Linked DNA regions of Coturnix japonica. The protein of the gene in region 1 interacts with the protein of each later gene in a biochemical or structural test. Links are inferred from orthologs where the notes say so. Each region holds a gene or a part of one and is shown in the gene's direction. Other genes may lie near its edges.

Region 1 (4,399 bases):
GAATACAGATTGAAGCAAGCAAATACCACAGCACTCTTGGTAATCTTCAGAGAGGTTTGGTCAGTGCCTGAAGTCAGAATGCTTAGGTAGCCAACTGCTCGGTCAGACCAGCAGTATTTCTTGCCATAGTGATTGTAGCTAGAGGCTTCTGATATTGTTACTGCACCTGCAGAAGCAGCCACGAGCTGTCTCCATGTTAAAGCATGTTCATGCTGAGTCAGTCTTGTTTTGAGAAGGGAGACTGCAAACGCTGTAGTCCAGTTTTCCATGCTGTTCACAGCAGTGCTCATCAGGAAATGCCACTAATGGTAGGATGGTGAGACAGGGATGGGGAGGGAGGCTGCTCCTCAGGGCCTGCAGCATCCTCTATCTGCTTACCTTAGTCTAGCCTGCATTTAAGCATTAACACACCTCTAGGTTTATCTTTACCTGCACCTGAACAGCTCATACTGCCACGAGGTTAGTGGTTAGTGTTCCCATTACCTTTATTCCTTAGTGGGCATCATCACATCACTGATAGCCCCAAATCAGGTTCATTTACCTGCTCTGTAGAATAGCAGCTGTACGCTCCTAACAGCTCAGCCATGGATGTGCTCTAACCATGAAGTAGACGCCCAGGTTAGTTACATGAGCGCTGCCTGCAGCTCGGGGGGTGCTCATAGAAGGAGGGCTGTGTTTCAGCTGCCCGCACTGAGCGCTGACTGATGCCTTCCCAACTCCTTGCAGGGCTGTGCTTGCTGCCATGAGGCCTTCATTTGGAATGCTTGGTTTTCTTCTTTTCCAGGAACAAAGCGTTTTCATTTTCTATGAGTTTTCTGCAGTAATTTGCTTCTAGTACTGATTGTCATTAAACTTGCAAACATGAATTTGTATGTGTTAAAGCTGACGTTGAAACACAGTTCAGCTGTTGGAAGAAATAAATGCACTGGATTCTACTGGATGACTCTGACTGTCTGAAGCCGTTGATTGTGAGGAGAAGTAATGATGGTGTCGGGGGGTGTGAGCGCGGTCTCCTTATTGCCGCTGTTCCAGGAGGCGGGGATGGGTTACGGGTGTGTTATTGGGGTGGGCTACGGGTGTGTTATTGGGGTGGGTTACGGTGTGTTATTGGGGTGGGTTACGGTGCGTTATTGGGGTGGGTTACGGTGCGTTATTGGGGTGGGTTACGGTGTGTTATTGGGGTGGGAGTGGAGCTGAGCTCCGGCTGCAGCTGTTGGTTCGGGCGGAGCTGATGGCGGGGCAGCACAGCTGCACCTGGCGCTGTTTTGCAGCTGTTGTCGTGGCTCCCGTCCATGCGGGGCAGCTCCTGCCGCCTTCCCCGGCCGCGTGCGCTCAGTGACCGCATGGTGCGGGGCGGTACCGGCCCCGCCGAGGGACCCCGCGTTCCTCCCGGCCGCAGGGGGCGCTGTGGGGACGCGGAGCGGGGCGGGCGGAGCCGGGCGCTCTGCGCTGTCAGCAGCGCGGCGGGGCCGGGCCGGGTCGGGGCCTCCGCCCTCAGCCGCTCCTTCCCGGTCCGTCCTTCCCGTCCGCCGCGGTGCCGGCAGCGCCACGTTCCGCGTCCGCCGGGCCGCCACGAGACTGAGGTAACGGGGGGAGCCGTGCCGGAAGAGCGGGCCGTGCCGTGCCGTACTGTGCTGTGCTGTGCTGTGCCGTGCTGTGCTGTAATGTGCCGAGCCGTACTGTGCCGTACTGTGCCGAGCCGTACTGTGCCGTGCCGTGCCGGCTTCGCCGGGACCCGGGTGCTGCGGGCGCCCCGTGCGGCCTCGGCTCCGCCTGGCGCCGTCACTGCGGCCTCGTATCCCGGCCGTGCCGTGCGGAGCGTGTCCGGGCGGCTTCTCTTCCCGGCTGCCTTCGGTTCCGTTCCTGCTCGGTGCGGGCGGTGCCGATCGGACCCGCCCGGGTGCGGCGTGTGTCTGTGCTGAGGGGACTTTGACCCTCCGCTCCGTGCCCGCTCGCTGACAGTGCGCTCCGTGTATTTGTGCGTGCCGCGCTCCGGGCTGGGGACGGATCCGCAGCTGTGCGGGGAATTGCGGCGCCTCCTGCCGGACGCAGCGCGGCTCGGAGCTTCCAGCTGAGACCTGCGGCGCTTCTCTCATCGCTTTATAGAGCGCTGCTCCAGCCGTTCTGTCACTAACTCGGTTCCGTTCTCTTCCGCTCCGTTCTCCCTTCCAGACGCCGTGCCATGTCCCGCTGCCGCTTTCCTTTATCTCTCTGCTGTTCCCGCAGCTGCTCTCGGCCGCTGGGCACCGTTTGCTTTTTGCCTCCTCCACGTTCTGTGGGTGTTCCCCATGGTGTAAATAAAGCTCCCAGCACTTCTCAACTCGGAGACAAAGCCTGACTCTGTCCTATGCTCCCACTGCTTACTTTGGGTCCTGACTCTTCCTGTGGAGGTGTAAAACAGACCCAGACGTGTAGTTTGGATGGGACGCGTTAACTCGGTTGATGCTGTAGAGTGGTGTTAATTCCACAGACCATTTAAATGTCTTCAGAGGACAGAGAAGCTCAGGAGGACGAGCTGTTGGCGCTGGCCAGCATCTACGATGAAGATGAGTTTAAGAGAGCGGAGTCGGCACAGGGAGGAGAGACCAGGATTTGTTTGGAACTGCCCCAGAACTTCAGAGTTGTTGTGAGCGGTGAGTTGTGATGGCTGCTCTTGTCTTTACGTTCACTTTGACCAGGTGATTTTCTGGGGCCTCCCCAGCTGCTCCCATGAGCTGTAGGGATATTTACCTGACGGAGCCGTGTGGGACCCCTCCTTGTGTCCATCGCTGGGGTTGGTGTCGGGGAGGGCACTCAGCCTTTTGGATGCAGCCTCTCCATAGAGCTTCAAAGTCAGAGCTCAGTCATGGTGTTTCTTTGGGGTAATCAAGTCAATATATTTATTATTCCCCTGGGGGTGTTTTCCTTGCACTTGGCTCCTGCAGGATCTGCTATTTCACAGCACTGCTGTGTATTGGTTTAACCCCATACAACCTCATGGCACTTTACTGCACCATTATTTGGTGTTGAATGAATCACTTTAAACTGAGAAGTCTATCAAACATACAGAGGGGTCGCGTGTGCCGTCCTTTGGTTCTCACCTCTTTGTGATGTCTCACCCTGTCTCCATTGGCTCAGGCATTTCTGCAGAGAGTCCGCAGAGCTTTGAATACACCGTTCACTTTCTGCCTCCACTCGTGCTGAATTTTGAGCTCCCACCAGACTACCCGTCATCCTCCCCGCCTGCCTTCACTCTCAGCAGCAAATGGCTCTCCCCAGCACAGGTTTGCAGATCAGTTCTAACATTATAGCAGAGCTTTTGTGGTCATGAGTGTATAATTAACACCATTAGCTGTGGTGGATGTCAGTATAGTAGATGCAGTTATGATGTACGTGGTGACGTCTCTTTTTCTTGGCTCTTTTGTTTCCTAGCTGTTCTTACTTGGTTACCCTTCTGACAGTTCAGTGTGTGCCTTACGAGGCGCTATTTCTATGTCTTTTATGTATTACCCATCAGTTCCACAATTTGAGGTGTAGGTTTGCACCATGGGAGCTGTCACGAGTCCCCAGGACTCACTGAAGTCTGCACTGGTTTCTCTTTCCCAGCTCAGCGCTCTTTGTGAGCATTTAGACAACTTATGGGAAGAAAACCGAGGCTGTGTGGTCCTGTTTGCCTGGATGCAGTTTCTGAAGGAAGAAACGTTGAATTACCTGAATATTTCATCCCCATACGAGCTCAAAATGCGCCAACAAGGGAGTACATGGGGCAGGACGCCTTCGGTGCCTCAGGATGCCAAGGACTGTGTTGGTGCAGTGGGCTGTGCTGCGGCTGAAGAAGGAATTGATAAGAGAGCTGTACAGGACGTGGAATCTTTGTCCAGCCTGATTCGGGAGATCCTGGACTTTGATCAGGCTCAGAGAAGGAAGTGCTTTAACAGTAAGATGTACATGTGCAATATTTGCTTCTGTGAGAAGCTGGGCAGTGAATGTATGTACTTCACCGAGTGCAGCCATGTGTACTGCAAAGCCTGCCTGAAGGACTACTTTGAAATTCAGATCAGGGATGGGCAGGTCCACTGCCTCAACTGTCCAGAACCCAACTGTTCTTCTGTTGCTACTCCTGGTCAGGTAAGGGCTGTGCTGAACCCAGTCTGGGTTATCATGGCGAATACACACAGGGAAATTCTTTCTCTGAGCCACACAGATTCCTCCAGGTTATAACTGGATTATCAGGTACATATTTTGCCTGCTGGCAAAATGGTGGCACTGAACTGATGTCCTGTTATATTTGGTGCTGCGTGTTTGTTCATCCTGTTATTTAACTGTCATCAAAATAGCATTTCTAGGTGCAGTTTTGTGGCATCACTGGGAGGATACAGAGTGAATTCATGCCAGCTGTACTTCATCTATGTACATTTCT
Region 2 (3,653 bases), on another chromosome or scaffold:
ATGCTGTTGCCCTCAGTACCAGCTGTTGACTGTGCGTGTGAATCCGTATTTTACATGAGCTGAATGGCCTTGCTGCCAGCAAACCCTCCAACAGGCAACATCGATAACAGCAATCTACCCACACTCCATACAATTCCAGCTATTCTTCAAATTAATAATAACGCTTAATAAAGCTTCATCTCTCATTTGCAAAGAAAACCTTCAATTAATGTTAATCAGCATCCTCAGAATGTGATCAGGCTGGGTTTGTAGCTGGACGTGCCGAAACAGTTCAACTGACAGATGGAGCATTTTCCAACTATTTTAATTAATGAATGCTCATTTCAAATGTTAATGCAATTAAATAAATAGACAAAACAAATAAAAATAATATACATTATGAAACTGCCACTATCAGAGGAATTTTTGAATAAAAAAGTGAGCCTTGCTCAAACCCAAGAAAAGCCCAGCCATCCTCTGCTTGCTACGTAAGCTCTAATAAAGACAGGGCTTGCTTTTGATACTTGCTTTTTCAACTGTTTCTCAGGGATTGGCATTTATATCACTTCCATTTTAACCTGCTGGCATCAACTGAGTCATTTCTTCTCCAAGTATTAGAACATTTTTTATGCAGGAAATAAGAAAGGATTTCCTTCACGTATAATAGACTTTTTTCATGTAAGATTTAGGCTGCTCCTGCTTCTTACTTCTTTCTATTTGAACTAATTGCCTGATTATCTTTTTTTAAGGCTTTACTTTCTGTGAACCTTGTATACCGTAGCTCTGATGTAGTCCCACATTTGTTGGGCTCATAAAGAGTTCAATTAGCCCTTTAATGCCTAGTTCAGTCACAATTAAACCTTCCCTGTTGACTCGGCATTGGTCTTTCTAAAGGCAGTGGAGGTGTTTTTAATTATTCATTCTCTGGTTTGTTTCTTAGAGCAGTCTCAGCTGTGCTTTATTATTCAAAGGTTAATGCAAACTGAGAACTGGGTAAATTAAATTTGTTTGGCAGCTAGCAACTTGATGTATTGCAGACACTGTGAAATATGGATGGGTGGGTGGGTGGGTGGATGGATGGATGGATGGCAAACAGTCAACACTTTGCTACTGTGACATTTTAAAAGCCAGATTTTATCTTTAAAACAATTGTTAGTTGTGTTACTATGGCTGATAGCTAATTAATGTTCCATAATGTTATATTCTCTGTAACCCATTTTTGTTAAGAAAGCAGATAGTTTAGAAAGCCAAGAAGCATTAACAGCTATTAGAGAAAATTGATGTAGGTACCATGACTAATGAACTATGCCACACTAAGTCACTGCATTGTATGAAGGGAATCATGCAGTCAGAAGTTTTAATGAAGGGAGCCCAAGGAATTTCAGGTGAAAGAGGGTTTTATTAACTTTCAGCGAACAAAATGAATAGTTGAGTAGTGAACATGACATGATGTCGTATAATAATTGTATGCCTTGGGTACATTGTGAGGCATGGAGCATAGCCAAGAGCTTTCATCTGTTCTATGCGCAGGGTTATTTCACTAACCCCTGCATACTGTGGAAATCTTTATTGCAAATATAACAAGAATGGTTTCACAAGAAATGCTTTAAGACAATACTATGTCACTGATTTGAAAAATCTACGAACACTGCATTCCTTTGAAAAATATTAATCAGTTATTCAAAAGTTCCCATCTCAACTGATCCTAATTAAAATTCATGTCCTTTTTCAATGACTTGTATCAGCAGGCTGTGAACCAAAAAGAAGTCTTCATATACCTCAAAAGGCCTCTCTGGATAAAATACACCTTTCTGTGGATAAACATTATGTTGTATGAAGGAAGGCTATATAAGCATTTGGAATAGTAATGTCAAATAAACTCAGTAATTTTCAATTGTCTTTTTCCAGGCACTGACTGTGTAGATAAGAGATTTTTCTTGTTTCATGTGTAGAACTATTCATCACAGATTTTAAATATTGTTTCAGTGCTGTGTTAGTAAGTGAAAACTTTGAATTAACAGAATCCAACAGTTGAACTGCTTCTTGTTTATGATTTTTTTAAGATAGCGTAAAAATTGCCAACTAAAGCAGCTTTCTGTACTAGTGACAGAAGTCCTTCGGATAGTAACTTACTTAGAAAGTGCAGCTGCAAGGTCATTCGTACCACACTGCCTTAAGTACTGTATGTGCTGTATAATAATGTGTGTAATTATGCTGCTACTGATGAGGTAGGTGGATGAGAAGGTAGATGAAAATAGGAAGGCTTGTGAGGCAAGACAGTGACAAGGCATCTCAGCAAAGTCTCTGTATGCTAGTACAGTAAGTACTTCACATCTGCCCACTAAAATATTTGAGATTAAACCGTCAAGAATTTTTCTGTGCTTATTTGAATAATTTATAGTGTGATTTTAATACCTCTTCCTGGCTGAGTATATCACTTCATTGACAGAGCTCAGGACACCAGTAAGATATGTCATGCAGGACTAACTAAGCAACTATAGTACTCAATTTCAACCCACAGCATTGCTGCAAATCCAGCACTACTACTAGTAGACTGTAACTGATGCAGTATTTTCTTAATTGTATGTGGTTATTATGTTATTTTTTTGTTTGTTTTCTATTTTAGTGCTGGACCCAAAGGAGACAACATTTATGAATGGAGGTCAACTATACTGGGGCCTCCAGGGTCAGTATATGAAGGTGGAGTTTTCTTCCTTGACATTACCTTTTCACCGGACTATCCTTTTAAACCACCTAAGGTTAGTAGGAGGATATTAAAAGTTTGATAGGAGTCTTCTCCTTGTGATATTTTTAACATCTATGTTGGCATACTCTTGTAGGATGAAATATAAAAATTCCAAGGCAATAATGAATATTTAAACAGAGTATTTTGATGGAAAGAATTTAAATGATTGCCTAAAATTTGCTTGCATGTCTCTGGTACAGTTGGATAGATATGGATTTATTTAGCAAATGGTTGTATAATTTCCAGCAGTTATTTGTTTGATTTGGATTTGTTTCGAATATGAAGGTAATTATATTTGAGTTGCATCCTTTGTAAGTATCTGAAGAATCTTTCCAGTTGACCCATATAATTCACCACAGGTCTGTGGCAGCCCAACAAAATGTGCACCTTTTGTGCTACCTCATACAAATTACTTCTCCAGATGCAGACTACACTACTCTTTGCAAAGATTTAATTGCTTTATGTTAGCTTTCTGGAAGGCTTTAGAAATATGTCAGCAAAGACAAGAAATTGGATAGAAAGTCAAGAACTAACAGAATTCCTTACAGATTTGTTTTCTAATGCTGTCAGTAATGATGCTAACCACAAAATGTAAAACTCTTTCAATAATATGAAGCTGGCAGATCATTACCATGACAGAGAAGACTTAGAATTTCATGCAGGAAATATCTAGTGGTTTTGAAGGCCAGAGAAACAGAAATGGGATGAAGTGCAGTAGAGTAGTATGTCATTGATAACCAATAGTAATAACTGTTGAGAGAGGATGTCCAAATGGAATTTTTCTGGTTGATCACAGTGTTATTGCAAACCACCAGACTAATGCATCTGGGAAAAAAAGAAAGCAAATACACTCCTAAAATGCATCATCTGGCATTTCCTATAGAGCTAAGGAATTGCTGCCATCATACACAAGACACTTGTAAGACTT

Evidence for each region. The genes of interacting proteins can lie anywhere in the genome.
Region 2: the proteins of RNF14 (region 1) and ubiquitin-conjugating enzyme E2 E2 form a complex in vitro, tested with the Homo sapiens proteins (2 studies listed by BioGRID). The link is inferred for Coturnix japonica from reciprocal best matches to the Homo sapiens genes RNF14 and UBE2E2.

Annotation. Positions count from the first base shown.
Region 1 is NC_029528.1:1,070,822-1,075,220, reverse strand, and holds the start of RNF14 (E3 ubiquitin-protein ligase RNF14), read left to right. Parts: upstream 1-1,468; 5' UTR 1,469-1,583; intron 1,584-2,336; exon of another isoform or gene 2,337-2,470; 5' UTR 2,471-2,479; coding exon 2,480-2,633; intron 2,634-3,117; coding exon 3,118-3,263; intron 3,264-3,585; coding exon 3,586-4,107; intron 4,108-4,399. UniProt on the Homo sapiens protein: E3 ubiquitin-protein ligase that plays a key role in the RNF14-RNF25 translation quality control pathway, a pathway that takes place when a ribosome has stalled during translation, and which promotes ubiquitination and degradation of translation factors on stalled ribosomes.
Region 2 is NC_029517.1:33,982,261-33,985,913, forward strand, and holds part of ubiquitin-conjugating enzyme E2 E2, read left to right. Parts: intron 1-2,605; coding exon 2,606-2,738; intron 2,739-3,653.